Lepisosteus oculatus: one gene and its partners. The protein of the gene in region 2 purifies or fractionates together with the protein of the main gene of each other region. This does not show direct contact. Links are inferred from orthologs where the notes say so. Each region holds a gene or a part of one and is shown on either strand. Other genes may lie near its edges. The genes, in order: hdac3, skia, sin3aa and E3 ubiquitin-protein ligase RMND5A.

Region 1 (7,786 bases), on a different chromosome or scaffold from region 2:
AGGATACAAATGAAATCAACAGAAAGAGACCCCTATCTCTGAAATGCGAACAATGCAGCCCATTTAACAAGGAAAATGGAGTGAACGACAGCCTGACTTGCACAATGGTCCTGGAAAGAGCTCGCGCTTTGAAACAAGTACTCAGTTGGGAGCAAATCCAGATGAGATGCACGTTCTCTCGTCGAAACCACCACAGCACCGAGCGGACCTGCATGCTCCTCTCCTGGCTGGGTGCACAGCTAACAAGAGCATTTTGCCTGGGCAGACAGTACCTTGTGGTTTAACTGCGTTGCTCCCTGCAGAGAGGCTCCCGTGTAGCGTGAGCAGAACTCAAACAGGCCAGGAAACACAGGACTGGGCAACGACAGGAGACAAGAGCATTAACTCACACATAACGGAGTACTGAGAATGACTCCACCACTCACCATCGTGATTATAACCATCGCAAGCAACTATTCTGCACCAGCAGCCCCAGGACATAGCAGGCCTCTTCTTCTCACAACGATGTCTTCTTTTTAAAATGTCTATAGGCTTGCTCCCATGTGAAGAAGCAAAACCAGATTGTAAGCCACGCGTGTTCAACTGAAAGAAACGTTCTGGACCAGAAGGCAGTTTTCTGTAGCTCAAGAACGAGGCTGTGAAACATGAGACACCAAGCTATAACCTATAGCCAAGTACAGACAAAAGCCCAATCAAGCAGGCAGATCCATTCAGGACAGCCTCTTCTTTCCACAGAGATGTCTTCTTTTTAAATGTCATCGTATTTCTATAGGCTATAGGCAGGACACACCCTGGTCGGGACACTAGTCCACCTCTGGTTAGACAGACTCAGAGACACACTCACACAGGGGGGTCAACTTTCCCAGAAGCCAATGTACTTCCCACTATGTTTCTGGACTGCGGGAGGAAACTGTACACATGTGCACACCGGGGGAACATGCAAACTCCACACAGACAGCGCACCAGATTCAGAATTGAACCCAGAGCCCCAGCTCTGCGAGTCACCAACTCTAACCATTGCGCCCACCGTGCTGCCTGCAGGCTTGCTAGCATATTTTCGTATTTGAAAAGACAAATATGTCCAAAGACAGAATAACACCCCTGTACTCACCAGTCATCCCCAACGTTGAAGGTGTTGAGACTTTTGGTGAAGCCCTGCATGTTGTTGGGACTGACCTTTTGCAGGAAGTCGATGTAATCTTCCGAGTGAAAGCGGCACATGTCATGTTGGGAGGCTTTGTATGGCTTGAACACCTGAGACAGACAAAGACTTCAAGGGCACTGTATACTGTACAAAGAGTACAAACACAGCCGGTGTGCAATGGTACCAAGGGGTCTGGATGCACATATATCCAACCAAGGGTTGTATATACAGATCATTACCTGTAAATACTCTGGATTTAAAAAAAGGCCCAACAATGCAAATACATATACATATTTATATAGATTCTTCTTTGAACATTAGCAGTTGCGGGCCCCTGACCTACACTGCCCTCCACATCTGCGCAGGCAACATCTACATTTCTACTCCAACTCCGTGTCAAACTCTGCCTCATGTGCAAACACTTCTGTAACTCCACACATTTTTTAGATCGTGTGGGCCAAAAACGCCTAAGGCATAAATTCATAACACACAAAATCATTAAAACCCCTTTCTTCAAATGAGATGAAACTCCTCACTGCCAAAATTAATCTTCACTTTGGGGAAAAAAACATACCATCATCTTCTTGTAGAGCCCATAGTGCAGAACAAGACTGTGGGTGAGAGAGAGTCGATGGGGTTTCATTGGGTGTCCAGCACCTTAAAAAGGGCACAACCAAAATGAAAGAATTATTCATTGGTATTGTAGAGTAAGTCAAACCAGAAGCGTAAACGTACAGAGGGTGGGAGAATGTGATGCGTTTGTCAATGAGAGAAAACTGCACATCGCCTGTCCTGGGAGACAACAATGTCCTTGGGTTTTCCTGTCCTGGATTCAGTGTTATTCCCAAGGCAAGATGTTGGTTCCAGGTGCCCTTGTTTTCTCCTACAGCTCAATCTCGGGCTTACACATTAACTGGCATTTCTACGATTTCCCCTGAGATGGACTGGAAATCCCTCATCAGTTCACCATGAAGCAATACTGCACTGAGCAGCTACTGTACATAAATGAACAAATTAGCGGTTTAAGCGGGATAAAAATGAAAGGGTTTGTCATCTTGTCAAAATTGATTATTAAAACCTTTCTTATTCAGCCTGTCGGGCCCAATACATACCTAAATAAGGATGTCAAAAGTAAAAGCAACACAACAATATATCCCTCGGTAATTTCTACCACAAGCTCTGCAGCCTTGTGACGGCACGAAAAGCTATCTTTCTTTAATTTGCCGGTTTTGATTTTTGTTTTTTGTTTGCTATGCGGAGGTACTGAAATACAAATCGACGATCCGGCCGTCCGGATGTTAAAATGAAAACGAGGCGCCTGTGCACTTCAGAACCGCACATGTCAATATGAAAGGAGCAGACATATTCTAAAATGAAAATGGGCACTGGAAATAATATTTACTGAAGGAGAGGAGCTGTCTGAGTGGGTTTGAACTTCATAAAGGCTTCTGCAACTACAGCTGTAAATTAGTATAATCACCTGCAAAGTTCAGAAGGGAGATATCGATCATCACTCGTATAAAAGTTCAGGACCGCTGATAAATTATTTCACGTAGTAAGTAAGACGGTGGAAAGCTGGGGCTAAGATCGGAAATTTAATGCAAACGATAAAATAACAGTAGCCACAAGCCCATCTTACCGTAATGAAAGTTCCCCACGTCTGGGTCGTAAAAATACGCCGTCCTGTTCGTCATCACAGCGGAAAACGAACAGAGAGTGTCGTCCAGACAGCAGTGAAGGCAGTCCTTCTTTTTTGTACTTAATTTTCAAGCAGGATTTCTAATTCACTCTAATTCAGCTTTCTTTTTAATTTACCAAATCGCCGCCATAGTAAAACACGGGAGACCTGTGCGGGACGTCATCAGAAACAGCAGATGGTGTACTACGTCACGAATATGCGTACGTATGTTTATGTGACGTAGACGTCGAAAGTGGCGGGGTCTCGTATTAAGGAACTTTCATTTCTATTCATGTTTAAAATTGCGATTAAGCGTTTAAACATCTTTGCCTCGATTACCGAATATAGAATAAAAATAATTTCTGATATCGGAAATATTTCAAATCGTATTCTTATCGGTATTTTATTTTTTTCATGAGAAATTCCGTTTTTATCGTTGCGCGTCAATATGTCAATATTTGATATATCAAATATTGATATCCGCGTGTTAAAACATATTGAAATCAAAATCTGGATATCAAAAAGCACAGGTGATGATTAGTTCATATAGAAACACCATACCCAAATATGTTCACACGGCAGATCTGAAGAAAGTTATAATCGCACCAATCTACTATAAGAAATCGATTTTTTTACATCGATAAACGAGTATTACATTTTATAACGACGTGTAATGTGAAATGAGTATAAATTCATATGAATCTTCAATCATATCTGACCATACTATCTTCTACATTTGTTCCCCACCCCCACGACCCTTGGTGCAAAGACATGCCTCCCGTGTCACGGTTTTAGCTGCTTTGCCACGTAGTTTTTACTCGTGTCCCCCGATTCGTGTTTCACTGTTCATTGTGAAGAAATGTTTTGGTTTACTTTTTCCAGCGCCTTTCACGATTTCGAGTGTCGGGTCCTCCTGTATTCCTGTATGTTTCAGAATGTGTTGTTCAAGTCTCTCTATAATATTATACTATATATGCTAACAAATTCTGTAACAAGACTTCGCTTACTGGTTGTATTTACATAACTTTTAAAGAACCAGGCAGCCCATCACTTCCTTGAATCGGACAAAGTTTAAATTCCGACTTTAAAAACGCACAGCTTAAAAAAGACACAGGTCCTGCGTCCCCCCTGTTCGAAGTCATTCTGAGGATAATAACTGTTAGGGGAGTCCCGTGAAGAATTTTGTTTTGCTCCTTACAATCTAGAACATGTTATCTCGGTGTAGTGGGGTCTAAAATAAGCGAAACCACCCAGATTTCACATAGCTGCAGCTACAGTAATATTACCAATTCAGTCTTGCACAGCAACTACAGTGCTGATAATAAACAACACAGCTGCCACCCTGAGAATGACAGAGATACTATCCTCTATCCTTTATGGTAAGGGGTTTTAAACTTCCAGGGGTGAATGAAACTGCCTTCTCTATTGATATATTTCTATGCTGTTACAATGTTTTCAAGTCGTTTTAAAGCTCTCCCTTATAGAGCTGGTCTGTGTATCGTCTAGTCAGGGCGAAAGTGCCACTACGTTTCCCATCGGGCGTATGACATTTAAACGAGTATTGTGTGTATTTATTGTGTGTGTGTGTGTATTTATGAGCAAGCAAAATATTTATGGAAAAATGAAAATGAAATGGTGAAAGGGAAAGAAACTGTCTTCAGGTGTCAAAATATGTATGGTTCATTCCTTAACCCTAAAAAAAAAAAACTACTTTTTAGACCACGCTGGATGTACACTTTTTGTGTAAGAGTGAGTCCCCCCCTTTTCATATAACGAAGCAAAAAAAAACATTAACTTGAAATGCTATCTTTTTCTTTACATGAATAAACTCTTTTAAACACGGAGCAATACCGATGTAGTCGATACATTCCAAAAAGGGCAGTTTTTCGTTTCAGAAGGAGACTGATCTCACAGTGCACGCTGAGGTTCATTTACAGTGAAACGGTAAAGCGAGACCAAAGCACAATATATGATGATAGATACGACCGGTGATGAAATCGTTTCTGAAGTGAGGGGGTTTGCATATCACAGAAATTGAAAGAGGGGCAGCTGGCCGCGTGTCTCCTTCCGCACGCAGCACTCCCATCCAAAGCTTTGAGGTTTTTTCCCTTTAAATAACTTGCAGGAGATTCTCTCCCTCCCTCGGTGCGCCTTCAGAGCAGCGCTCGTCCGGATCTCGGGAGCACCGCGCCGCTGGATGGTCCCGCACAGGAGCAGCGCCGTCCAGTTGTAAGCACCCGGTAAGCGCAGGTTCCTCCTCTCTTAATCTGCCGTTAGGACGAAAGGGGCGACTAGGGGGCTTCACTGAACAGCAGCCACTTGATCGGCGAGGCCAGCGGGCGTGCGGGGAAGGTGGGCGGATGAGAGAGCTGGGTGCCTTGGCTAGTGTTTGTGATGCGGGGCTGCAGGAGCAGGGAGAGACGGCTGTGTTCGTGAAGCAGAGGGCTCGTCTTGCAGTTCCGTCTCATCTCATCTTCGGGGCAGCAAACGACCATTAAGCATACTGTACTGCCTTTCCTATGACGTTCTTACGCCCCTCAGACTGAGATTTTTTTTAAAAAATATATATATATTTATAGGATTGTTTATTTTGAGTGGGAATGGAGAATGCTATTAATATTGAATTATACCCCCCCCACACACACGCAAACCATCCCACACTTCGCAGAGATAAAAAGAAACATGTTGAAACGGGCTTATTGGTGAGACATTGTGCCCGTATTTGTGACTGTCTTGCCACGGTATTAGACGGCTTTCAGCAGCGCCCTACTGATGCAGCCCACGGTGTCCCCGGAGTCTGACTCCAAGCCCAAGGGCAGGTGTGTCACCGGCCGCGCTGGGCCCACCAGATCATTATCAGGGATCAGAAACTTGGAAAAGATGCAGGCTGCAGCCTGCATCTCCCTAGACCCGCGCACGGTGTTGTTTTTCCTTCTCTTCCCACCCCTGGAGTCTCTCTCTCTCTTTTTTTTTTGTCATGGCGACGCGAGGTATTGGAAAGCAGTTAAGTGACAGGAAAACCTTTTTCTTTTTAAATAAAAAGACCTTGAACACCGTTTTCGTGTGACATCAGGGCGCGGAAATTAGGAGCGTGTCAGTGTGTGTGTGTGTGGTGGTGGGGGGCGGTGTATGTGAAACATTTAACAAACAAGGGTGGTTTTAGTGCAGAAGGGAGAAAGTTAACCCTTTCGATTTAATCTTCATTGAAAAGCAACGAAGCTAGATTCTCCGCAATTCGTGACGCCCGTAGCAAACAAATCATGAATTTGTACATAAAGATTTACGGTAATATTGTTTAAAATTAAACTGCCTGTTAATTTTATTATTATTAATAATAATAATAAATGACACATTGTAGCATTTATTATTTTCCAGTTGCATAACTCACAATGCAACTCTAGAATGAAGTTATTTCTCGCATTAGGGATTGATGGAATTTTTCCACAGCTGGCCACTGTGGTTGTCATGTGGATACTGTATTAAATCAAGGAACCAGACAAATTCTCATTTCCCAAGAATCCCTGACCGCTAACAGTCCTCACATGAGAAAAAGTACAGAGCAGACGGGATGCTGACCCCAGTCCATTCAGGCATTTTCAATTGGTGCCTGTGTGTCGTTTTTTTTAAATAATGATTTCAACTTTGCGTCTTAATGTTCACTAGGAGTGGAGGGTGTGGTTACAGTTGACTCCGGTTTGTACCTGCTTAGCCGCCTCCGTCTACTCTAAAGCATTCAGGATGTGATTTGAGAATACATTCTTCCTTACCCGTTTTGTTTGTGATTTGGTATACGACCATCATCAGTACGCTAAACGCGCCGAAAATATGTTTTACAAGGGCCGTGGGTTCATTTGGAAAATAATGCTGTTGTGCTCCAGGTACAGTACAGTACAGGCGGTTAGCCACGCCAGGCAATATAACACTTAAAACCCAAGGTCACCATTACTGGCACAACAACACATGCAAGTGTGCTTTATCGAAAGCCTGCGAAGATGTTTACAGGAGAAGCAATCTAATGCATCTGTATCTTTTGCACGGGCAGGGAGCTGCTGTAACTTTGCTTGGTTACAGTGTTTACTGTTACAGAGTTCTACTTCTCCAGCTGTATAGAATCTTACATGAGGACGAGGCACAGTCACAGGGAGCTCAAATGCTTACCATTTACCCTACAGTTGCTTAGACACCTCTGCACATTATGAAGCATTAATGAGCAGACTTCAGTGTTTCACAGCAACAGTAATTATGGTCGAGCCAGGACAGACAAGGGCAAACAGTGCTACCCCGAGGCCAGGCTGTGAAAGCTGAGCCCTGAAGGACAGACGCAGCTAAATCAGTTCATTAGAGATAAGAAGAACTGCTGTACATGCTGGGCAGTACTTAGCAAGACTTCATAATTAGCTCACTTACTGCTGGATATTTTATATTTTCAAATACAGGTGTAAAAAACAGTTTTCTGTTTTTAACCTTGGCTATAGAGGATGATGTTGCAATCTAACCTCTTGCTGTGGCAGTAATAATATCATCGTGATCACCCTCATCATCGACATCATGAACGCGTTTATTCCAGACAACGTCAGGGGCACACTGTTTCTGTTTTGGGACGAAATGTGTTGAACATGCAATCATTTCAGAACGGTAACGGTTTTCTGTGTCTTTTTACAAGCAGCGATTCAAAACTCTTTCCAAAAACGTTTGGTTCCCCGAAAGGTGCAGAACCCCAGAGGGTGGCACAGTGGGGTGACAGGTCACGTGCTCTGTGCTGTCTAACTCACAGCCGGGAGCTGTTTCAGCGAGTAGCACATGAAGGAGCAAGCTGGGGCGGTGCGTGCCGCAGATGTTTGTGTGCGGGAGTGTTTTGAAGGCCCGGGCTGCTCCCTCTCGCTGTTTCAGGGAAACAAGGCTGTTTTTCTTCCTACGGGTCAGACAGGGATCAAAGGGTGGAGAGGGGAGGGGGGAGAAGGCAG
Region 2 (7,303 bases):
GTGTTTTATGTCTTCTGTAAGTTTTTAAAACATTTTTTGTGGCTGAAACATTGACGTTTTATTTTCCCCTCGGACAATAGAGAGAACACAATAAAATGAGAAAATCACGGGATTCTGGGATTCTACAGTCAAATAGAGGGTTATGTGGGGCAAATAACCTCTGTGAGCTATCTATTCACCACGTTGTGTTAAACTAACACCGAGGTTCAGGACTTTCACCGAGCCCTCGTGGCAGACACAACATTTGGCATCTTTCCCACCAAAAAGCACCGCTGTTGACCACCCTCCGTGAATCCAACCTTTGCTAAGTAGCACATCATTAAGCGGGGATGGGCCCGTCATTAAAAACACATTCACCTCCGAATACCTGAGATTCCGATGTTAAACATTTTCACATTTTCAAAACATCGCAAAAGGGCGAAAGGCAATGCAGAACTCGGAGAAGAGGGAGAGGAGTAAGCGGGCAACAGTAGCACCTTGCAGAGGGAGGGTGAAAGTGGTATTTTTTCCATGCGAAGCGTTTTCAATGAAAATCTCCGTTGGTGTTCCTGATATAACATAACCAGCTGTCAATCCTCTTATCTCTTGAAATCTATGGAAAACCCAAACAAACTGTGCTTCAAGAAGAATCAAACTCTGATTATTATTAAAGGCTACTATTAGAATACATTCATTAATGCATACTTCTTCATATCAGATAGGCGTCTGTGTTTACCGCGGATTTGAACACTCTAAGAATACGAATGCGCATAAGAAGACTTTCACACCTACTAAGACAGGCTACTACACAAGCAAATAATGGCTTTATAACCGTAAAGGCGTTTAGTTATTCTTCGTAGCTAATTAGTAGCCATATGTTAACTTTAAATTAGGTCATTTCAGTTGTCGCCCGAATCTTACTGCTTCATCCGTTTCCCATTGAAACGTCATGAATGGTTACATAGTACGCATTTGTTTTTCAATGTTTTGGATTTTCAGTACCTAACAAAAAACAAAAATACTCAAAGTGACAACTGTTTGTTACATTTGATAATGAACTTCACCACAGCTTGCGCCAGCACACACTTTTAATGTTGTCAAGTGACCGCGCTAGGTGTTACGGTGTCCCGCAAAAACAACATCCCGACTCGCACCCGTCCCGGTGGCCAACGGCGAAATATCTTTTTTGCACAAATGACGAGAAATGATTTAAGCCCCCATGGTTTGATTCTTCTCGGCTAAAGCGACGAACACAGCACATCGGACCCATGCACTACGCGAGGAACGTGGAAGCCTCCGACGAGAAAAAAAAAGTAATACATTCCGTCTAGCAGGAAGAGCTGAAGTTCTGCACTGCGGTGCAGTATTGTTATTTAGTTAGGAACATTTCTTGATACGACTAAAAAAGCATTAGTCACATACATTTCGTGAATTAAGCTTCAGGTGAACATTTCGGCGCACTCGATCGGTATAATCGGACCAAGCTGTCCCGTAAACCCCGTACGGCTCCATGCACACCAACACGCAGCTCCCTGTCACAGCCCTTCAGTGCAAAAGGTCCGAGCATTTAACACGCCGAAACTTACCCTTGAGGCTTTCCTCTTGTATTTGTTCGCGAAGTCGAATTTCTCTTTAATTTCGTCTAAAAGCTGCCCGAGGCGCGCCTTCTCCTCTTTGCCCGTGTAATCCTGGCTGAGGAGGATGTATGCCCTCCAATTGGCGGAGTCGAAACCCCAGTGGCATGTCCTGTTTTCCAAGGATTTGTGACTGTGGACCACGAACTTGTGGGTCGGGTACATGAGCCTACAGTCCATGCACTGTATACAGGCTGCGTTCGGGCTCGTGTACAGCTCGGGCACGAAAAGTCCCCTGCACTTCCCGAAGCACTCGTGGTATACCTTGAAGCTTTTCTCCGTCAGCTCCAGCTCCAGGGAGCCGGAGAACTCCTTTTTGCAGTGCGGTGGAAAGGTACCCCCGTAAATCAGGGCATTACAGAGGCGCTCCGCATCCGTTTTGGTGATGAGGCCGCACGAAGGTGCCGAGAAGGGCAAAATCCCCATGACTTTAAGAATCTCCAGCTGGTCCGCCGTGCACCTGGAGCAGTAGATGTGGAGCTCGTCACACACGGAGTTGATCTGCTGAAGGGAGAAATCTCGCAGGACGGTGTTGAGGATCTGGGGCAGACAGAGCCGCTTCTCTCCGCCGACTACGAAACAAGAGATAGTCTCACTCTCCAGGACCGTCTCGCACCTTTCCGTGGAGCGGTCTGACGGGATGAAGAGGGGACCCGGCATCACAGGGGGCGGCTGCATAGGGAGATGAAGGACCGGCTCTGGGTCCTTGCCATCTTTCTTGTACAGCATATCCTGTTGCCATCTAGCTGAGAAGGCTGCCGGGCCGCCGAGAGAGCTCATAGAACTCAGATGAAACTGCTTCAGAGTTTGTTGCAGTCCTGGATGAGGTTGAAAGCTTGGTCGGGTTACAGTCTCCATGTTTTACTTACTACTTGAAAAGCGAAACTTCCTTTTGCCGGGGTAGAACTAAAGCAATAGATAACCCACACTGGTCCCGGTTCCTTGTAAATCCAAGGTCTCCCAGAGTTAGCAGAGGTGAAAAGGCGCTTCATCAAACATCCAGAAAGAAGTCCTACACAGTGCGCGTCCAATCCCCCGACTAAGCGTACGGTAACACCGGCGAGTCTTCCCCTGCAGTAGTAGGTTCCCTACTGTCCATATCCACACCAGTGCTTCTTTCTCAATCCACAATAAAGAAAAAAATAAGCGCCTCTCGCTTCCACAAAAAGTATCCACCTATACTTCTGAACTTTGTTTTTCAGAATTTCCCAAAACTGTAAAGTCCGTACACTCTTTGCCTCTCTTTTTCGTTTCTGTTTTGCAGTGGTAGAATTCACATCCACACTGTCTGCCCTTGCAGTAATGATATGCCTGTGCAACTACAGCCAGCCAGCCAACCTAGCTAGGCTTGCTTGCTCACTCTCTCTCTCTCTCCCTCTCCCTCGCAGCCCCCCTTTCTCAGTGTTTGTGTGTGTCTGGCTCAGTCATTGAATCCCAGCCAAGTATGTGACTGACTCCCCAGGCTGGCTCTTCCAAGAACATGTCGTCACTCCCCCTCTTCTCTTCTCAGCCCCGTGCTGCTGCAAAAGGAAGGAAAAAAAAGAGACTTGAGCACAGGGCATGGTGAATCACTTGGTTCACAGCTCAGAATGTCTGCAGCTAAACCGAGAGGAAGGGTGGAGTTTGCAACAGACGTCTAATTTAGACGTTAAGGAGAAATGCAAATTCTACGAGTGACTGCGGTTTATTTATTTTTATTTAAATAGACCAAAGTAGTCCTTTACAAACATTTAGTGACAGAAAGTAAAGCAATAAAGTCTGATGTTTGTCACATACAAGAATTTTATTTTTTTTAAAGTCGTGCTTACATATTTTTTTTCGTTTTGTTTAATCAGTTCCAGTGCTCAGTAGGTTCTATGTTCAAAGCGCTCTTAAACATTAAGGACACACGCGTGTAACGCAGAGGGGGAATCTTGGCCGATTTTTGTTTAATATTTTTTGCACGAGGCTGCTCCACCAATTTTCCACATCTTCTAGGTCTGCTAGTTCTGAACAAACCATTTTATTTAGTTGCAAAGTCCCTTCATGATGATCATGGTAAACTACGGGGGCTCATTTTGATCTTCAGGGCTTCATGAACCCCTGGCTTTTTTCAGACCCCTCGAATCTGAACACAGACCAGACAGTGCAGCAAAACACAAGGCGTATCAGCGTTTTTACATTCAAGGAAAACAGAGATTTTATTTCTGGATGTCTGTGCTTAGTGTGTACTGCAGTCTCAGCATGCACTTGCCCTATCGGACTGTAAACTGCAAATGCATTTGCACTCAAGGCATGTCTAACAATACTTTCCTTGCGGAGATTCTCCTTTGCTCCAGAGATTCTTCCAAAATGCTCCTGCAAAAAGCCACAAATAGAGCCGGAGTTCACAGAAAACCCTGTCTTGCCCCAGAGCTCCTATATGTGGTTGCAGGGAACAGAACTTTTTTGAGGTGGCACACCTTTGACTTCAACTGCCCTGGACTAACCATTCCTGATGACTTCTGATCATCACGGGGGGGCATGGAAATGATTCCCTGATATCAACAGCTGTTGACCATTCCGAAAAGGAGAAAGGATGCCTGCCTTTCTTCAAATCAGAGTGAAGAATGTAACTTAAAACATAAGTCCCCCCACCTACCACAGCACACACACACATACACATGTATCTTCAAGGCCAGCTTAGGAACACACATGGACTCTAAACTTCTGAACCAGAGAATGAAAATGGTGGGTGTTTGCACTTTTATAAGACCAATCCACCCACACATTCCTATTCATCTGAAACCAAGAAGAATTTGTTTGACTAAATACCTCCTAAGTCCTTTAATGGCTTAAAGTTTGGTACAGTTCCTTAAAGAATTCTTTATTTTGGAAAGGGCCTGGTGTTATTGTTATCATGCTCCTCGTTCTTTTTTTTTTTTAAATTGAGTTCTCTGTTATTGTTCTTGCTTCTTTTATTGTGTCTCATGGCCCTCCCCAAGTAGAGTTATGAACACCATAGCTAAGGCAGTCACAATGTACATTGATATGTGTCGCCTTTTCTTACCCGTCCAGTTTTACGAGTTACACAAAAAGGGGGTCACAGCAAGCATGGTCAAATAAAGCCTTAGAGCTGAAAGGTTTTAAAACCTGGATTTTGTCAAAGACACACTCGACTACCTGGGTGGACTGGGTGATGGATCGTGTTCATGAACTGCCCCAGAACAACTTGATTCAGGAGTTGCCCTTCCTGATGTGCTGATTATTGCAGTGGGGGGCTAATCTTATAATTAAATAGCATTTCTAGTGCTGTTTCATTTAAAGGATATGATTACACAAAAATACAAAACCGTGTCATCTCAGGATTTTTTCTTGGTTTTTAGGTATACCTTTATCACTTGAAAAGATTTTTATGCAATTAACAAGTGCTGCTATTTCTCAGATGAATGTAATCAATTTCAAAACTTTATGTGATAGTAATACATTAGAGTACATGTTCTGAGCTTTATTAAATCTACAATGTACAATTAAGGGAAATAATTAATACTGAACACATTCACACTTATAGCCTATTTTGTGCATGTGTTACCAAAAAAAACATGTAGAACATTTCTTTCAATTAATATTTTTAATGAAATAAAAGTGTTAAAGAGTTTGTAAGAAAAGTATTACCTTTTAATTAGATTTTAAAGCTTCACAACAACAAAACCATAAAAATGTCTGAGAAAAAATGCATTCCAATTTCCTCTATGCAGTGAAATCATTCCTTTCAGCCAGTTACACTGGAAATATGTCCAATTGTCAGAGACAATAAGTGGGATTGAGAAGCTAAACTGATTATTCTGTATCATTAGCTCCCTCTAGCAGGACAGTGATGTAATTGCACTGTCTGTGGCACTGGGACAGTCATTATGAGGAAATGGGGTCACCATGTCTAGTCAGGAAATACAGAGTGGGAGGAGTATATGGAGACAGATCCATATTGTAGTAGCACAGTAGGTTGATAAGGTACATTTATTTTTTATCAGGAACATTTTGTTGAGCTTCAAATGAAAATGCGCCTGTATAAATTCAAGTCATGTTTTGCCAGATTTGTCTTTTTCGGATATTTCAGGTGACACTGCTAAGCACTGCGCCATCATGCTGCCCCAAAATGAATATTAGTATTATTGATTTTTGTTACGATTGTACTGTTTTCACACATCCATATATAAATGATTGAGATAGCACATTTTATTGGGCGAAATAGTACATATTTCAGCTAAAGATTCTCATGACATTGTTTCTCATAACAAGATGTAAGTCACCACATGTTAATTTGTTCCTTCATTTAGTGATTACAATGTGCTTGAAAATGGTATTTTTATTAACATTGCACATGGAAGGCAACAGCAATAAAAACAAGCTTTGCAACCTCGTGGAATTTTTCATTTCATAAAGTGTACATTATTATGAAAATACTAAGAGAGACATACCCAGCAGAACACTGGGATTCACAATTCTCACATATCCTTTCACGAAAAGATAAACCCCTAATGGATAAGAAGAGTTAGAATCAGAAAAACCTCTGTTGCTTGGGACCACAACTTCAAACCAACTGGGGGGAAAATCCAAGCTGATATCTGTGGAGACTTCACATCTAAAATCTCGGATGTATTGCTTGATTCACATGAACTCATCACCCGCGAATAATACCCGTCAGCAATTATTATTAAAGGAGTGGGTTTCTTCACAGCGGTATATATATAGTAGGTCCCTGCTGAATGGATTTTATTAAAGAGAAAATAAATCCTGGTCAAAGGAACTATCATATTTTCTTCCTTTGTTCTTTTATCCGATATTTTATTGAAAACATCAAATGGCCTCCAAGCATTGTGTAAAACCGATGCAGAAGTGCTCCCAATTACTTAATAGAGGATAGTTTCTTGAATTGGAGCAAAGGAATAATTTTCCTGATGATAATGGTGATAATATTGTATGTTTCCCAAGGATCTAATGGGTCTTTACAGGCAGAAGAGGACTGTATCCACCACAGAAGTGTAGCTATCCCCTGTTAAATGGCAGCCAATTGACAGAGTTCCAACAAATTTATTAGCCAATTAAATCACATGTGGAAATTTAAGGGGTCGGGAATACAAAGATACTAGTATACGGATATCAAAAGCACCAGCTCTAGGCATTGAAATATCAAAGAACATAAGTTTATTAGTAAGGTTATAAATGAGAGGAGGCCATTTAGCACTTCGTTTCATTTGGTTGATATCAGTTAATTGACCCAAGGATCACTTTTGGGCTTTTCTTTGATGAAGCCACGTTATCAGCTTTGTCAGCCCTTCTGGGTTGCTTTTTCCAAATGTCCATATACAAAACATGTCCTCTATTCTCAGTTTTAAACACACATTCCCTGTGTGTTCCAAATGTTCCACTGTTGATTCTGAAGAAGTCCATTCAGTTTACTTTATCAATGTTTTTGAGAATAAAAATAGGGTTCTCCCATAGTCCACTCTGCTCACCACTAAAATGATGAACTTCTCTTACCCTGTCAGTATAGAACAATCCACACTAGAATACATGGGAATGTATTTGGTTGCACATCTCTGGACTGATTCCCAAGCAGAAATATCCCAGCTCTTCCAATTAATTCTTCTTCATTTAATTAATCATGGCGAAACTTCACCAAATACACCACAAATGTCTAAATACACCACATTGTTGTTTGTATCCATTAA
Region 3 (7,827 bases), on a different chromosome or scaffold from region 2:
AGTTTTGGTGTTTCTACAGTAGGTTAGTTCTACAAACTAGATATACTCTAATGTTTTATTTTAATCTTTTCATTTCTGTTTACATTTTAGATTGTCATAGGTCTTAATCTTGATCTGTACTGCTAACAATTATATAAGCAAAATGATAGGAATGTGCACTAGTAATAAATTATATAAGATGACAAAGACCCTGAATGTTTTTTTAAGGGTAGATGCCAAGTCTTAAAACTGGACTGAATTGGTCTCTCAGTTCTAATCACTTGGATTGAAGGGCTTCACTACGGTCTTTATTCATGATTGCATTGTATGAATCTCGTGTGGTTATGCCATCCTTTCATTTTTGAATCAAATCTCTATATGTGTGGTGTTCCATTATTTAAAAATAAAAATCTTCGGCTTCAGGGTGGACTGTTGGCAGATGTCCTTACAAAAAGCTCCAGAGAAGACAGACGGACACGAGTGCTGTTTACCTGGGACTTCACGGAAACTGCACGTCTTACTCGTCTCTTTTTACAGGCACCATCTCTTAAAAGCATTAAGACATTTAATTATAATAATAATAATAATTGCTTACACTTATTTAGAGGCCTGCAAGAGCTTACTTTACAAAGACCGTTCTAAGTATTACTGTAAATGTCATGACCAGGTGTAGCTTTAAAATCACTTGTTTTTTATGTTATGTTTTGTACGACAGGCCTAGTTTTTTAGGGTGAACCAAGCATCTCTTGATAGACGCAGGACTACACAGCATTTCAGGTAGTATTTGGCGGGTTATATTTAAATAACAATGACGTAATGAATCGTGTTCTCCAATGCCGAGGAAAGGGGGCGTGTTCAACTATTTTGTTACAAACACGAATCCGGAGTGTGAGGCTTCTTTTTTCTAGGTATGTAACAGCTGTTAAAACAAAAATAATTACAATTTAAAAACTCAAACTTTGCAATAAAATAAGTGGGCTACGATTGCGGGCTCGCGGGGTAGTTACTTAAAGAGGGCGCCCCTTTTGATCTTTCTTTGCTAATGTGTTATCGATGTTTGAAAATGAACAAATTCAGAAAGCAGGAAGGGCTGTGTGGAAGAGGAGGGGGCATTTTATTTTATTTGTAGTTTAGGGTTCTGCAAATGCTGATTTATTTTGCCGATGTTGAAGCCGGGCAATGCAGGTCTTTTTTCACACTTGGAAATGCAAAACGTGTAGGAAAGAGATATGCACTGGAGGACAGCAGTATCGAAAACGTTGAAAATATTTCTCCGAAAATAGGAGTAAACAAAGAATTGCAGGGTTGTATGTTGAGACACGGATTTTCCCTGTTAAGTCTACTTGCGGGTTACTGTTGATGCGTATTTAAATCGAGAATCCATACACGGTTATCTTTTGTGATATTCACGTATCCTGATCTTTTTTTTTCCCTCTCTGCTGTCAGTTATATTTTTCGCTGGACAAAACCAAGCTAAGACTTGGCTTAACGCAAAGAAATGTATCTGTGGCAATGAGACCGTCCGTTTCAAGTGTGTATTTGTCTCCGTCGTCACGTTTATTCTCGACAAAGATCTCCAGTTGCGTGGTAGGAAATACGAACAACAAAGAAATCGAGTCCGGTATTAAGACGTTTATGAGCCGATTTGCCGCGTCTCCAGCGGATCGCTTGAGAGAAACCATTGCTTTCGATTTCATTGTACTCTTGGTTGTTTGGAAGGGTATTGAAATGCCTTACGCTAGTGGTAACTTTGTTTTAGATTATACGGAGGCGTTTTAATGATAATGTTTTTTTATAAAATTCGTTATGTCTGCCGGTCTGAATCACTTTCGTCCGAAGAGTGAAGACGGAAGACTTCTCACCAGCCGAAATGTATTCGTCATTGCATTCGTGCTGAAACAAAACCATGGTAGCAAAATGGTTACGTGGTTAAATGCTTAGAACATCGCAACATCGCCAGCAACGACCACCCCCCAGCACAAGTGTAAGAACAAGTAGCTGTGTGTGCAGTAATGTTTATTTATGTTGAATGCACATTTCTGTGAAGTGCTTATGCTTGATCTGAGCCGATTGCATTAATTTTAAAGTAGCTACGGCTCTCCTGCACGTGAAGCGCTTCATGGCAGTACTGTGTGGCGCCCGCTTGACTGTTTATATAGAAAAGAAATTCAGATGGAGGGGGGGTGGAAAAAAAAAAGCTAAGATCTTGCCAAATCCCCATTCACAAAGACCCATACGAAGGAAAGAGTGCGTAAAGCAGGGACGGACGATCGGGTAACCCGCAAAGATTTCGGAGCGAAAGCGTCAGGTCCCTCAGACGCTGGGAATCCCGGGCAGCTTTCTAGTCCCGCCCCTCGTGGGCGGGGATTTATTTCCGAGTTCCGCCTCGTGTGGGAGGGGGTAATTATCGCAGTTCGGACTCTGATTGGGCGAGGCCGGGCCACGCCCATCGAGGAGGGCCCTCCCATGACGTGATGCGCTGGCTTTTACACATTTACGCAGGTCAGTCACGTGGGTCCTATAAATTCAGGAAGTCCGTGTTCAATCCAGGCTGGGGTCGTTGCAGGTTTTGGCAGAACCTCGCGTTCGTAACTCCCCACACGAGTCAATCTGCATGTACGGGTTGTAGGTGTGCTTCTTTCACGTCGCTTCAGATTTAGTTGCTATACGGCATAGTTTGATTTGACCCTATACCAAAGTTGCTCAACAACATAAAACTCGCAGTTTTTGAACCCGGAGATAACTAGCCAGCTACCATTTTGAATGTTATTCACCAATGAACCAATCTTGGTGCAATAGCAATTATTTTTTCTATCGTTCACATTGCATGCTATTGTAACATTGTTTTTGTATCAGTAACGTTTCGTTTACACGTATGTTATTAATTTTATTCTATTGACAGATTTAGCTAAAATGCGTCTTGTTATAAATATATCTTGTAATGGCAGTGAAGAATTGGCGTTTATTTTGCTGTGCAGTGTGCCCTGAGTTCTTATGTGCACTTATCTCACCAGTCTTTTACTGTATTGAGAACACCTGTAAGATTCACGCTTCTCATTTTATGTGTAGCCTATGCATTTTTTTTTAGCTTAGGAATGAGGACTTGAATAATAAAATAAAAAAAATGAAATTTCACCCTGTTGAGTTCACAACTCAATCTGAAAAATGTTCACCCTTTTTTCAATGAAAGATTATTATCGGGAGGTTGGCGATTCAACCCATGTAGCTCATTTTGTTGTTTGTAGTTAAGTGATCTTACTCGCTAACTGCCAGGGAAAAAAGCCAGGTTATCAGATTTGACAACATGGCTAGGCATCTTATTTCAGCTTCCTACAATCCCTGTGTAAAAGAGTGACTCTTGTTGCCAACTTTGGTTGCTGGTCCCCATAACTCCAAATTGCGACCCTTGATCCATGTCTCATTGTCGGCCCTGAACAGGTCTGCTAGAGGTAATGTATCTCGTAAGGAAAGGAACTTGGCCAAACACATTCAGGAAGAATATCAGAATACATCTATACACCTACTGTCATTACTGTGACTGCATGACAGTGACACTAGTTGCCCCTGCTTTTTAGCACTTAGAACAAGTTCCAGTCGAACTGCTGTGGACTTGTACTCGTTTTTATGTGATTCAGCCCCTAACTGAACTAACAGTAACAGTTTACACGATTGGAAACATTGAACGTTTTTTTCTTTACTCAAAAAGATGGAGTTCTTAAGTTACCGATGAACCAGATGCTAAAAAACAATCTTGTTTAGGAACCACAAAAAAGGTTTACATCAATCCTATTAATAGATCAGGTAAGGGTTCACGTTTAATGTATAATGTAACCAAGGTTTTAGCTGGAACAAAATTCAGGTGGTCTATAGATCCCCACAGGTGCAGGAACATTGAAGAATCTTGATAACTTTTAAGGAAAGGCCCACACCACAGTTTAATTAATTTATAAGGATTTTTCTGTTACTGGTTTTTATTTCGAGGGCAGGAAAATTAACACTTTATAATACAATGAAAAGATGAAAGAATAATATAAGCACAGTGTACTTTATAGATCTACGGAAATGGTGAACAGAAACGCTTCACCCTTCTTTCTGAATAGGGAAAATGTACGTATTTTGAAAAAAGGTGTCCTATACAGAGTGAAATGACTTTTACAGGACGTATCTGCCATTTGCCTGAAATGTCAGTTGCATAAGGTTTATGTTCATAAAGACAACCGCGTAAAAAAAACGCTGCCTCGATGGAATAGTGGCTGGTCAGATCTCAGTGTTTGAGGTAAACAAAAGCGACTTGTGCTTTAATTCCATGCAGGAGTTGAAGTGTTTCAGTTCCACAAGTTCGTCAACTCATGCTCGAAAGCGGAGTTGTTTCCCGGTTTTGTTTTGAGAAGAACGACTCAGTAGTCCGCTGTACACTTCAGTTACGAAGTAAAATGCTCATGCATCGAGGCGTTAATCGAAACCAAAGCTGAGATCACAGGAAGCTTGAGTTATCAACGTAAAAAAATGAGAGCCACTTCTCGATACAGCCCTTCCTTCCTTCTAAAAAAAAAAAGTCGGTTTAATGGAGGTCCACTCGACAGAGCATTGTTAGAACTCAACCGGAGAGGCGTAACCCTTTCTTACGTGATCGACGGGGTCTTGAGCCAAGCAGACATGTTGTGTAGTTCAAGTATGTACGCACATGGCCCTCCTACCAGCAACCCCTAGTCTCCCGGAGCCCCGGTTCTCCGGATTTCAATAAGGGGCGGTGCTTTAGCAAAGGATGAGTGACGGGCCGCAGCTCAGCCCCTTTGTGAGGTAAGGCTGAGTTTCCCCTCGACATGGAGTGACAGGACCCCCAGCCAATCAGAGAGAGGAGGTTACGTCCCCTTTTCGGTCTCTTTCGGGCGGAAGCCAATGAGACGCCGGGGTGGGCGGGGATTAGCCCACCTTCCCGGAGCCCCTCCTCTCGGTAGAGAAACGAACGGAGGTTGTTTTCTGAAGAGAATTTTCCTTTTGCGGTCTGGCGCCTGGGTTGTTTATTTTATTATTATTTTGATATCTTTTGGACACAAAAAGTTCTTTTACCCAGTCCTCAGCCTTGTTTTATGGTCGTGGGTTTTTTTCATTTTAATGTTTTTATTGTCTGGAGAGTTTTAAGCAAAACAAATAAAAATAGGTGCCGAGTTATTTCTGTTTCAGGTCGCAGTGTTACGAGGAGGTGAGTTCTTTCAAATTTGGTTATTTTGGGGGGATTTTCGGATGAAGATAAAGAAATGGAAGGATCTTCCGAAATCGGTCCGGTTCGGTGCATAGTTTTTGTTCTGATCTGGCTTCCTCGCTATGATCTCATGGTCAAACTGTGTGCATGTGTAGTGTCTGCATTGACTGCCTCCGAAATGTAATCTGTATGAATACTGTTGGGGAATACTTAAAAGTCCCCCTTTCTTTGGCTTGCGTACGAAAATGACTGCTTTGTCACGGACGCTTATCGGGTTTTTTTTGTCCTCCTCCGAAATGCATGTGCCTTCTTGGCAGGGCATGTAGTTCTCCCGAGCTACGTGTCTGCGGTGCAGCCTTTCAGAAAGACTCCCTTCCCCCGGCGGCGAGCCGACTACGCGAGGTCGGGGCTTGTGGATTTGGAGGCAGGCCGCGCAGGAGCGGGGGGGGGGAGGGGAGAGTTGTGGAGGTAGGGGGGACGGGGGGGGGGGGGGTCGACTGGCCATTCTCGGATTAAAAAAAAAAAAGCTTGAAAGAAGGAAAGAAAAAAGGGTTTCGAGACGCTTTGGAATCGGAGGGTTTTGGTTACGGCGGCGGCCGGGGGGGTCAGTTGGTGGCAGGCTGGCTGCCTGGCCGTGCGGTCCCGACCGTAGGCGCCCGTGTGCCGCCTGGGGCTGTGTGGACCGCGGGGCGATGGGGCTGAGGAGTTGTGTGACGGATGGCCAGGCACTTTTGCCAGGAAGGACAACAACGCATCATCCTCACGATGTAATAATAATGACCGCGGTGCGAGGCCGGGCGGCGTGATGCGGACGGTCCGGGGAGGCAGCGCTTTGATTTCACGAATAAAAAAAAAACACATTCGTGAGCCGCTGAGCCTCCAGCGCCAATCCCAGCGCCGGCCCAACAGCCCGGAGTTGCGACAGCGGTGCCGGCGTGTGTGGGTTTGAGTCCGGAGTCTTTTCGATCGTTTCAAGGACTTTTGATGGAGCAGGTAGACTGCGCTGGCGGGCGGGGGGGGGGCTGGGGCAAAAAAATAACGGAGATCGGATCTGCCCCCCCCCCCCCGCCTGGTTTGACTCGGATCTTGAGCGCAGTCAGGGGTGTGCTTTTCCCCCCCGGCGCTTGGGAAGGCAAGATCGTGTGGTATCCGGCTGATCGTTCCCTCCGCCCGCGATGGGTTACTGCGGTGGAAACCGTGAGTTAAGTTTCTTAAATGACCATTGTTCGGTGCTGGGGAGCAGTTCGCCTGCCTGCTTGTCGGCGGGGGGGGGCACCTGGCCCGGGAATTGAACGTACACACCGCGCACGTTGGTGGGACTGCGGTGACGTCACCGAGATCCGCAGCATGTGTTGCCCGGTGGCCGTGGTGGTGGAAGCAAACGAAGTCGGGAGAAAACATCACTAAATTGCGCCGCCGAAAATGCCGTGAATCCACCCCCAAGAGACTAAACGCTTGTCTTGCTCCTCGTACCCCCCGCCGCCGTAGATTACAGTGGTCGAGTGGAAAGAAACATCGCCGCGCTTTCAGGGGGTTGAGATACACTGCGTTCCCAGAGTGGTATTGATTCGTTGCTAGTGAATTTTGGCGGATGGGGGTCCTGTACCCATACAGCTGCCTACTGTCTTCACTGATCAGATCTTGGCTCCTTTCTGAGATGATCTGTTGCTCTCCTCTCCAGTGACCCCAAAGCTGTTCATTACTGTTCGTGGCACAACTCACCCTAGAATCTGCCCTTCGATTCTGTCATTAACTTTAGCCTTAAGTCATCAAGTCAGTTGGAGTTTAAATAATGAGGTTAACCTGACGACTGGCGAAAGAGTTTGTAAAAATCATTTTTGATTCTGAGTCTGCTTCAGATTCATCTGTCTTAAGATCTCATTTGGAGCCACTCACATAGCTGTGCTGAATGAGAAGATAAGATCACTTTATTGGTCATATACAATTTCTTGCATTAGGAATGATAAAAAGGTGAAGTGCAGCAGGGCTTTTTTGAAATGTAACCTTTTCTTCTTCCAAAGCAAAAAAATCTTAAAAGTGCCCTTTATCGCCCTCAAAGTCTCAGTCGAATTTCACAGGCTCGGGTGGTAACTGTAATTCTAGTCCTTTCTAGTCATGTACTATTTGTACCCTGTTTTCTACCGCAAATAACTTACTCGTCTCTCTAATGATCTGAATATATAGCAGCAAAGGGGTATTAATGCAAGTGAAAATGATTTGCCATGAACAGATATTTACTGAACCTATTTGTGTATATGTAGCAGCTTGAAAAAATAAATGTGTACGTGCAGATTTAGTACATTTGCAGGAACCAAGTTAATCACTTTACAAAGCATCTTGTGCAAACTGAACATGACTGCCCATGAAATACAGTAATGCATTTTTACAGTCCGTTAACATTCCATGATATTGATTGCATAGTCATGTCATGTCCAAGAATCAGTTTTACAAGGCCTCAGAGAGAAAATTGTAACTTACTTTGGCAAACTTTGTCAGCAGAGACGTTGTCTAAATAATACCAAGCAGATAATGCCTTATATGCTACAGGGGTCAAAGATATTAACATTTCTAACAAGTTTTGGAAAATTATTTTAGTAAGATGTTGGTCCTTTCAGAAGTTAGGAAAGTGCTACAGCATTTAAATT
Region 4 (6,862 bases), on a different chromosome or scaffold from region 2:
TACCACACGACAGCTTCGAAAAACCGTGCCAGAACGAATAAGACCAAAAAATACAACAGCAGAAAAAACAGCTTCAGCCACATTTTCCACCTCCTTGCTGCAACGGGAATATTTTTAAAACGCTGGCGCTACGATTTCCGGGTAGGAATAGGCGAGTAACCTACGTTGCATTTGGGGCTCGTCTATTTCTTCCTAAGACTTGCTTTCATTTGCAGGCTTCCCCTTTAGCGCTGGCTGAACTTGAAACTTTTAAAAAACAAAGAAGCAATCCACTCTCCACGATCAGCGAGCTAACAAGGCCCGTTAAGGCCAACTGTACAGTCTCTGGATGTCCACCATTTTCAGAAGTTGTCTTGTGTGGGGAAAAAAAAATCAAATACAGTGCGAAAGCTTAATTTACGCTCTCCCTAAAACAATAAGATGGTCAGCTTTTGCTGCTTATTCCAACCCTCCCAGCGTGCCAATTGTGAGCAAATTCATGACATGTAATGACGAGTTCAGATCACGGCATTTTTAGATAAGCGATAGTTGCCGTTGTCCCTACAGTTGCTGATGTTGGAGCGCCTTGCCTGCCAGATCAGCTGGCATGCATAACAACATGACGTCACCGACAGGAAGGACCGACGAGACTTGTTTCATTTTCTTCCAATGGAAAAGAAGCGAAGCTTTTGGATTCGTAATAAAATAAACCTTGTTTATATCACGCATTGGATTCCAGCATACTGTAAGAGTATAAACCGATTACACGGGCTGTGGTAATTTAAAACCGTTTTTAAACTTACCAAACTAAGAACCATGACCAAAATGTCTGGATACAATACATTTAATTGACTTTAGAAGATGTGTTTATTCTTTAAATATGGTTAGTAGAGTTGTGATGTAAACTGTAAGAATCCTGGAACAGAATTACTTTAATGTTAGCATATAAATTGAAAAGATCGCAAAACGTGGGTTTAGCAGCATTAAAAAGGTTTGTTTTAAAATGCACTGACATTTTCCAAGAATGGTATTTTAGAAAATATCTTCACAAAACAGCAGATCTGGTCTCACAGTACAACAAACGCTTCTGTGTTGTGTAGCAGTGTCCATGTCAAACCCTCAGAACACCCACATGCTCAAACATACATGGCAGAGACACTGCAGCTTTCTATCCTGCCAATATACAGAATGTGTAATAGGCAAAATGAGGCAGGAATAGAAGCTGCAGTTGCTACATCAGCTTCTTACAATAGAGTAGGTATTAAAAGTGGCAATTAAACATGCTTTGTTTTTAGTCAAATAGATTTTGTGTACAACTAAGTGTTGGATAACTGATATCTTTTTGGAGCAAAGAATGTGAGTTTTCAATGAGCACTTTAAAAATATTATTTATATTCCAGATGCTATACATGTTATTAAGACAGCTATTAAGTACCGAATGCTCTCGGAGGAAACTGCAGTTGAAATTGTGTGAGTCATTTGCACTAAGAATGTGATTTCCCTCTCCTTCTCTTGCAACTGTATAGAATTTTCATTTAAATTTCTTTCCAAACAGCATGTAGTTTGATAGGCAAAACTTCTCTGAAATTTAAAGCTCAGTTTTCTTATTGTATTAAATTATTAAATAGTCATATATGTAATGAGTTAATACACCGCATCCGTTGCAGAGACACAACAGTCATCATCAGTCAGGCACATACTTTTTATTGGGCTCTGCAGTAAGTAGTGCCTAGATAAATTAGTAATTGTCTTTTTTTTAAATGTTGTAACTGAAATACACATAGAAAAAAGTCTCAGCCATGGCATGGCTACATGGCTATCGTGTCTGTTATTAATAAAAAAATATAGCATTGTCCATCTCAGTCAATTCACTAGTGGGTGAAGACTTCCAAAAAAAAAACATTTTAGGAACTTGTATTTTCTACTATGTTTGCCCGACTTGTTCTGGTGATTTTCCTTCTTTACTATTTTCTTCTGTATTTACATACACATTATTGTGTAAAACTGTTCTATCCTTTTCATTTAGTGTTTTCCCTGCTTTATGCAGAAACAGAATTCAAGCTATCTTCTCTTGAATATACAGTATAGCCATTGCATTTTAAGATAAGTTCAATCTGATAGATCTGTATATTGCAATGCAAACATAGCCTGTAAGCTTATTGATGTATGGACAGAAATAAATAATAATAATACACTTTTATTTATAAAGCTCTTTTCCAAACCCAAGGACGTTGTACATCATGAATAAAGAAAAACAAATTAAAGTACAATAAAAAGTACACACAAAAATAAACAAGTGCATACAGGGTTTAACAGATGTAGTCAACCAGATGTAGACTTTGGTAAAAGGAAAGTTTTGAGTCGTTTCAAAGAGCTTTTTAAAAAGTTATCTTAAAAAAGTTGTAGAGTCTGAGAAAGGTCATTCCATAACACTGGAGCAGCAACAGAAAAGGTACAGTCACCAAAAGTCTTTGATTTAGTCCGGGGTAAAATGAGCAAAGGACCAGACCATTTAACTATTATTGTTAAATGATATTCCCACTAAGGAAAACCTCATTAAATTTATTAAATGTGTAGAATTAACTACTACAACACTTACCTGTATATGTGCTACTCATGTGGAAGTTACCTCAAGTTCTTCTATACTGGTGCTAGCTAATTCTCACCAATATGAATAAAATGACAAGCTTCTATTTGTTATACTACTACACAACACTTGTGGAGACTTTGAGTAAATTGTTAATTCTCACAACATGAGCCAGCAGCCATATCACCCTGCAACTCACAACTGGCAACCCACTGAAACTAAGCAGGTGTGAGCCTGGTCAGTACCTGGATAGGAGACCTCCTGGGAAAACTAAGGTTGCTGCTGGAAGAGGTGTTAGTGGGGCCAGCAGGGGGTGCTCACCCTGTGATCCATGTGGGTCCTAATTCCCCAGTATAGTGATGGGGACACTATACTGTGAACAGGTGCCGTCCTTCGGATGAGATGTAAAACCAAGGTCCTGACTCTTTGTGGTCATTAAAAATCCCAGGGTGTTTCTTGAAAAGAGTAACCCTGGCGTCCTGGCCAAATTTCCCATTGGCCCTTACCAATCATAGCCCCCTCTATGAATTGGCTATATTGCTCTGCTCTCCTCCCCACTGATAGCTGATGTGTGGTGAGCTGCTGTCGCATCATCCAGGTGGATGCTGCACATGGATGAAGTGGTGGTGGTGTAAAGCGCTTTGAGTGGAGTGTCCAGAAAAGTGCTATATAAGTGTAATTATTATTATTAACACAGACTTTTGCACACTATTGTATATAACACATTACTTCCAAGTTTTCATTTACAAAATATTTAAGAGTCTTGACTTAGACGTGTATCACTGCACTTGTTAATTATTCATAAAATCTTGCTAAATCTAAGGTGTATATTTTTCACAAACTCTCATTTATAAATATAAAAAGCTTCACATCTTCTCTTTAATTTTCGTCCCCTTTCTCCAAAATAAGTACTAATTTGAAATATAATTGGCTAGTCAAACGTAAAATAATCATCAAAACATAACTTTAAACCAATGTGATCAAAATTCATATCAGTATGCACAAAGTGCAGAGCGCTAAATGCATTCGGTGGCAGTTCTGGTGTAACCACATTCTCAGCGCAACTCTTCGCTGCGTCACTGATTTCAGAGTAGTTCGATAATATTACTGCCAAACAGTTAATAAAATGTGCGTGTAGGTCATTAATAAATGGATAAAAAATCTATATGACTACACACTGAATTGATGAAGGGAGCTATATTCAAAATGTCACACAAACTTCGATTTGTAAACATCATTACGAAGTTTCGTAAATTGGTAAACAAACACAAGCCACGGACCGAGCGGACTCGGGATGTCAAACGGAAGTTCCGCTACGCTCAGTCACGCGATTCGCTCGGTCCTGTCACGTGGTACAGCAGGGGACGTGATAACTGATAAAAATGTGCTGTGTTGCTTAAGAACAGCAGGTAACTAAAGCTTCTACAAATTCTACCTTATTCCTTTAGATATATTTTTGCATTTAGGTATATACTGAAAAATTGGTTATGTTTCGCGTGGTCCTAATATTTTCGGCACCCCCCTGTGTGCCAGCCTGTTGGTGTCGCCCTTGGAAATCGGGTCAATGTTCAGGTCCATTAAAAACAAAAACATTCTGCTTACGCCAAAGTTGAGGTGAAGGTGTTTTGGTTTTGATTTTTTTTTCGTGTGCGTGTTTGGCGCTGCGTGTCTTTCCCTTTCTTAAATTCTGATTGTATTTCTGTAGCGCAGACGAGCAGCGTCATGGATCAGTGTGTTAATGTGGAGCGGGAGCTGGAGAAAGTGCTGCAGAAATTCTCGAGCTACGGGCAGCACTGCGATAGGACACTGGAAGAGCTGATCGAGTACACCAGTGGCCTGAAACACGAGATAATACAGACTGGCGGTGAGTTTATATTTTGATGAGGGAAACGTGGAATGTCATCTTTGTGTTTATCGAGCTGTCGTGAGATCATCTTCCAGACCCATGAAAAATGGTCAGCCCGTTTTAGTTGTATGGGCGAAGGCCTACAGCCAGGTTAGGTGTGTAGAAAACTTCGATGTCCGATTGCTTTGTAAACGTGCCAGTTCCGCAGGATTGCGGTTTCGCACAGTTTCGTTTAGGCCTGTTTGTTTCTTGCCTCCGTGAGTAGTCACGTGTTTTCTGCGTTCACGATTTTGTCTCGTCTCAGTGCAGCAAAACACCCGGTACAGTAACTACAGTGTAGTACTGGTACTGTACATTGTGGCGGATATGATCCACTAGTTAACATTTTGAAAAGAAACCACGAAGCGCTGAAAACCCGATAGAAGTCAAAAGCGTGCTTATCATTTAAGTGTTTTTAAACTTGCCGTTTCTGTGTTTTGTATTGGAAGGTCCTGTGTAGTGATGGTTGTATGTGGCTTTCCTTAACTGTACTGATCGTTTCCATTCCTTCTGGTACAGGGGAAATAGTAGTGGCTCAATACTCGGTACAGACCTTAGGCTTCTTAATAAAGACGTTTAGTGCAAATGATCTTTTAGCGACACCCTTTTCATTTAACATGTGTTCGGGTGAGTTTGAAGAAAACGTTTTTTGGCGCAGGAGTCTACTATAACATATCACATGGTCGTGTTTTTAGAGCACGAAGAGCAAAGGTTTAGTACAGCAACGTACAAGCGCCACTTGGGAAAATACTTATTTCCCCAGACCTGTTGCTTTATTGCGTATCGGGAGGTGTTGTTTCCATAACGAATTGAAGAACGACGTTTTAATATGCTACATAATCGATCGCTATGCTACAGTTATACCTGGACTGCTATACGGCCATTTTTCATGGACATGCCGTGACATGTCATCCTTTTTGGTCCTTAAATCTCCAAGGAATTTTCAAATATCGTAAAACGTCCGGGATTTTTCCTTGTTCTTTTTCCCCAAAGGTTTTCGAAGCATAATGGTTCTTGGGATGAAAAGAGAGTGTTTATTATAGAGTTGTGGACGTGTCTAGCTTGGTACCCCGTTCAGTTTTAGTTCTGAACAGGAATTATTTTTTCGCAGCCCCTCAGCAACAATGTCTGTCTTATCTGACCCAGTACTATACAGCACTTTTTAAATTATATCTGTGATATTTTGTTTTGCTGTCCCTAAACACAAAACGAAGGTGTCCATTCCCTCAGAGCTAAAGACAAAATTCCCGAGTTTTCAAAGTGATGGAGAAGAATTATTTGAATAATTAAAGTTACCCGTTGATTTGTGAGGCCGTATAACTTTTTTTATAATTCTGAAGATATCAATATAGAAACGTAGACGAATTGTGGTACTAACATATACAACACGTTATATAGCATGAATATAATTCCATTCAATAGATACAGGTTCAGATAACTATCTCTCCCTCCAAACAGAGTGTCCTCTTTGAATCTGAATCTTCAGATTTCAAAATGCCATCTTTAAATAAAATAAGCTTGGGCCAGGCAGTGGGTAATAGAGTCTCCTTTACAGTACCGCCCCCAAAAGCAAGTGTGCCTTCTCTTTGTCAAAAGGTCCAGACCTGCAGGGAAGGTCGACACATGGTGCCTTAAGCGAGTACACCTCTAGGCAGCATGAAAATCAGAATACCATCCATCCATCCATTTTCTAACCCCTTTTTCCAGTTCAGGGTCATGGGGGAGCTAGAGCCTATCCCAGCAAGCAAGAAGCGCAACAGTCTCATCACAGGGCAGACACCCACACACACACACCCACACCCGGGCCAGTTTTCTCAGAAGCCGTTTAACCCACCAGTATGTCATTGGACTGTGGGAGGATTCCAGAATTTCCCCACACGAAAAAGCTTACAACAATGGAAAGGTCAAAACATAATTCTGGAGTAATCCTTTGCTACTGTTTTAAAATGACTTTTTAATTACTTTCTTTAAAATCTAAATAATATTTATGTAGAAGAAGAAAAAGGCTCCATGGCCGAAACGTCGTGCTTTCTTTCTTCTTTTTTCCAGCATGGAATAAACCTGTTGCTTGTTCCTTTGCATATTTCTGTAGTGTATACCTTATTGCCATTGCAAATGCTTTTTGTTTTGTGAAATAGTAGCATTTTCCATGTTGTGCATGCACATGTTGCAATCACGCATGCCTCTTTCTGGGGGATGGGAGGCACTGTATGAACCGCTCTGTCTGTTCCTAGAGCCACCCAGGGTTGGTTGCTTTAGGAACAGACAGAGATCAACAAAGGCAGCATGCCAGTGCTAATGGATGTCAACAGTATTTGTGCAAGAAACCTACTAATGTATTGTGTTTAAAGAAAATTCAGTGGGGAGTTCATCAGCGTGTGTTATCTGCAGAGGAAGAGTTAAAAGGTTAA

The links.
Region 1: the proteins of skia (region 2) and hdac3 purify together in Homo sapiens (affinity purification with western blotting; 4 studies listed by BioGRID and IntAct, with this or other methods). This does not show direct contact. The link is inferred for Lepisosteus oculatus from reciprocal best matches to the Homo sapiens genes SKI and HDAC3.
Region 3: the proteins of skia (region 2) and sin3aa purify together in Homo sapiens (affinity purification with western blotting; 3 studies listed by BioGRID and IntAct, with this or other methods). This does not show direct contact. The link is inferred for Lepisosteus oculatus from reciprocal best matches to the Homo sapiens genes SKI and SIN3A.
Region 4: the proteins of skia (region 2) and E3 ubiquitin-protein ligase RMND5A purify together in Homo sapiens (affinity purification with mass spectrometry; 3 studies listed by BioGRID and IntAct, counting the BioPlex papers as one, with this or other methods). This does not show direct contact. The link is inferred for Lepisosteus oculatus from reciprocal best matches to the Homo sapiens genes SKI and RMND5A.

Annotation. Positions count from the first base shown.
Region 1 is NC_090706.1:38,473,140-38,480,925, forward strand, and holds the start of hdac3 (histone deacetylase 3), read right to left. Parts: upstream 3,023-7,786; 5' UTR 2,839-3,022; coding exon 2,784-2,838; intron 1,802-2,783; coding exon 1,719-1,801; intron 1,255-1,718; coding exon 1,112-1,254; intron 355-1,111; coding exon 273-354; intron 1-272. UniProt on the Homo sapiens protein: Histone deacetylase that catalyzes the deacetylation of lysine residues on the N-terminal part of the core histones (H2A, H2B, H3 and H4), and some other non-histone substrates.
Region 2 is NC_090720.1:4,150,460-4,157,762, reverse strand, and holds the start of skia (v-ski avian sarcoma viral oncogene homolog a), read right to left. Parts: upstream 3,020-7,303; 5' UTR 2,472-3,019; coding exon 1,566-2,471; intron 1-1,565. UniProt on the Homo sapiens protein: May play a role in terminal differentiation of skeletal muscle cells but not in the determination of cells to the myogenic lineage. Functions as a repressor of TGF-beta signaling.
Region 3 is NC_090700.1:60,643,360-60,651,186, reverse strand, and holds the start of sin3aa (SIN3 transcription regulator family member Aa), read left to right. Parts: upstream 1-4,818; 5' UTR 4,819-5,069; coding exon 5,070-5,182; intron 5,183-7,827. UniProt on the Homo sapiens protein: Acts as a transcriptional repressor. Corepressor for REST. Interacts with MXI1 to repress MYC responsive genes and antagonize MYC oncogenic activities. Also interacts with MXD1-MAX heterodimers to repress transcription by tethering SIN3A to DNA.
Region 4 is NC_090696.1:35,728,884-35,735,745, forward strand, and holds the start of E3 ubiquitin-protein ligase RMND5A, read left to right. Parts: upstream 1-3,845; 5' UTR 3,846-3,860; coding exon 3,861-3,975; intron 3,976-4,093; exon of another isoform or gene 4,094-4,180; intron 4,181-4,271; coding exon 4,272-4,430; intron 4,431-6,862. Other genes in the region: E3 ubiquitin-protein ligase RNF103, read right to left, coding at 1-83.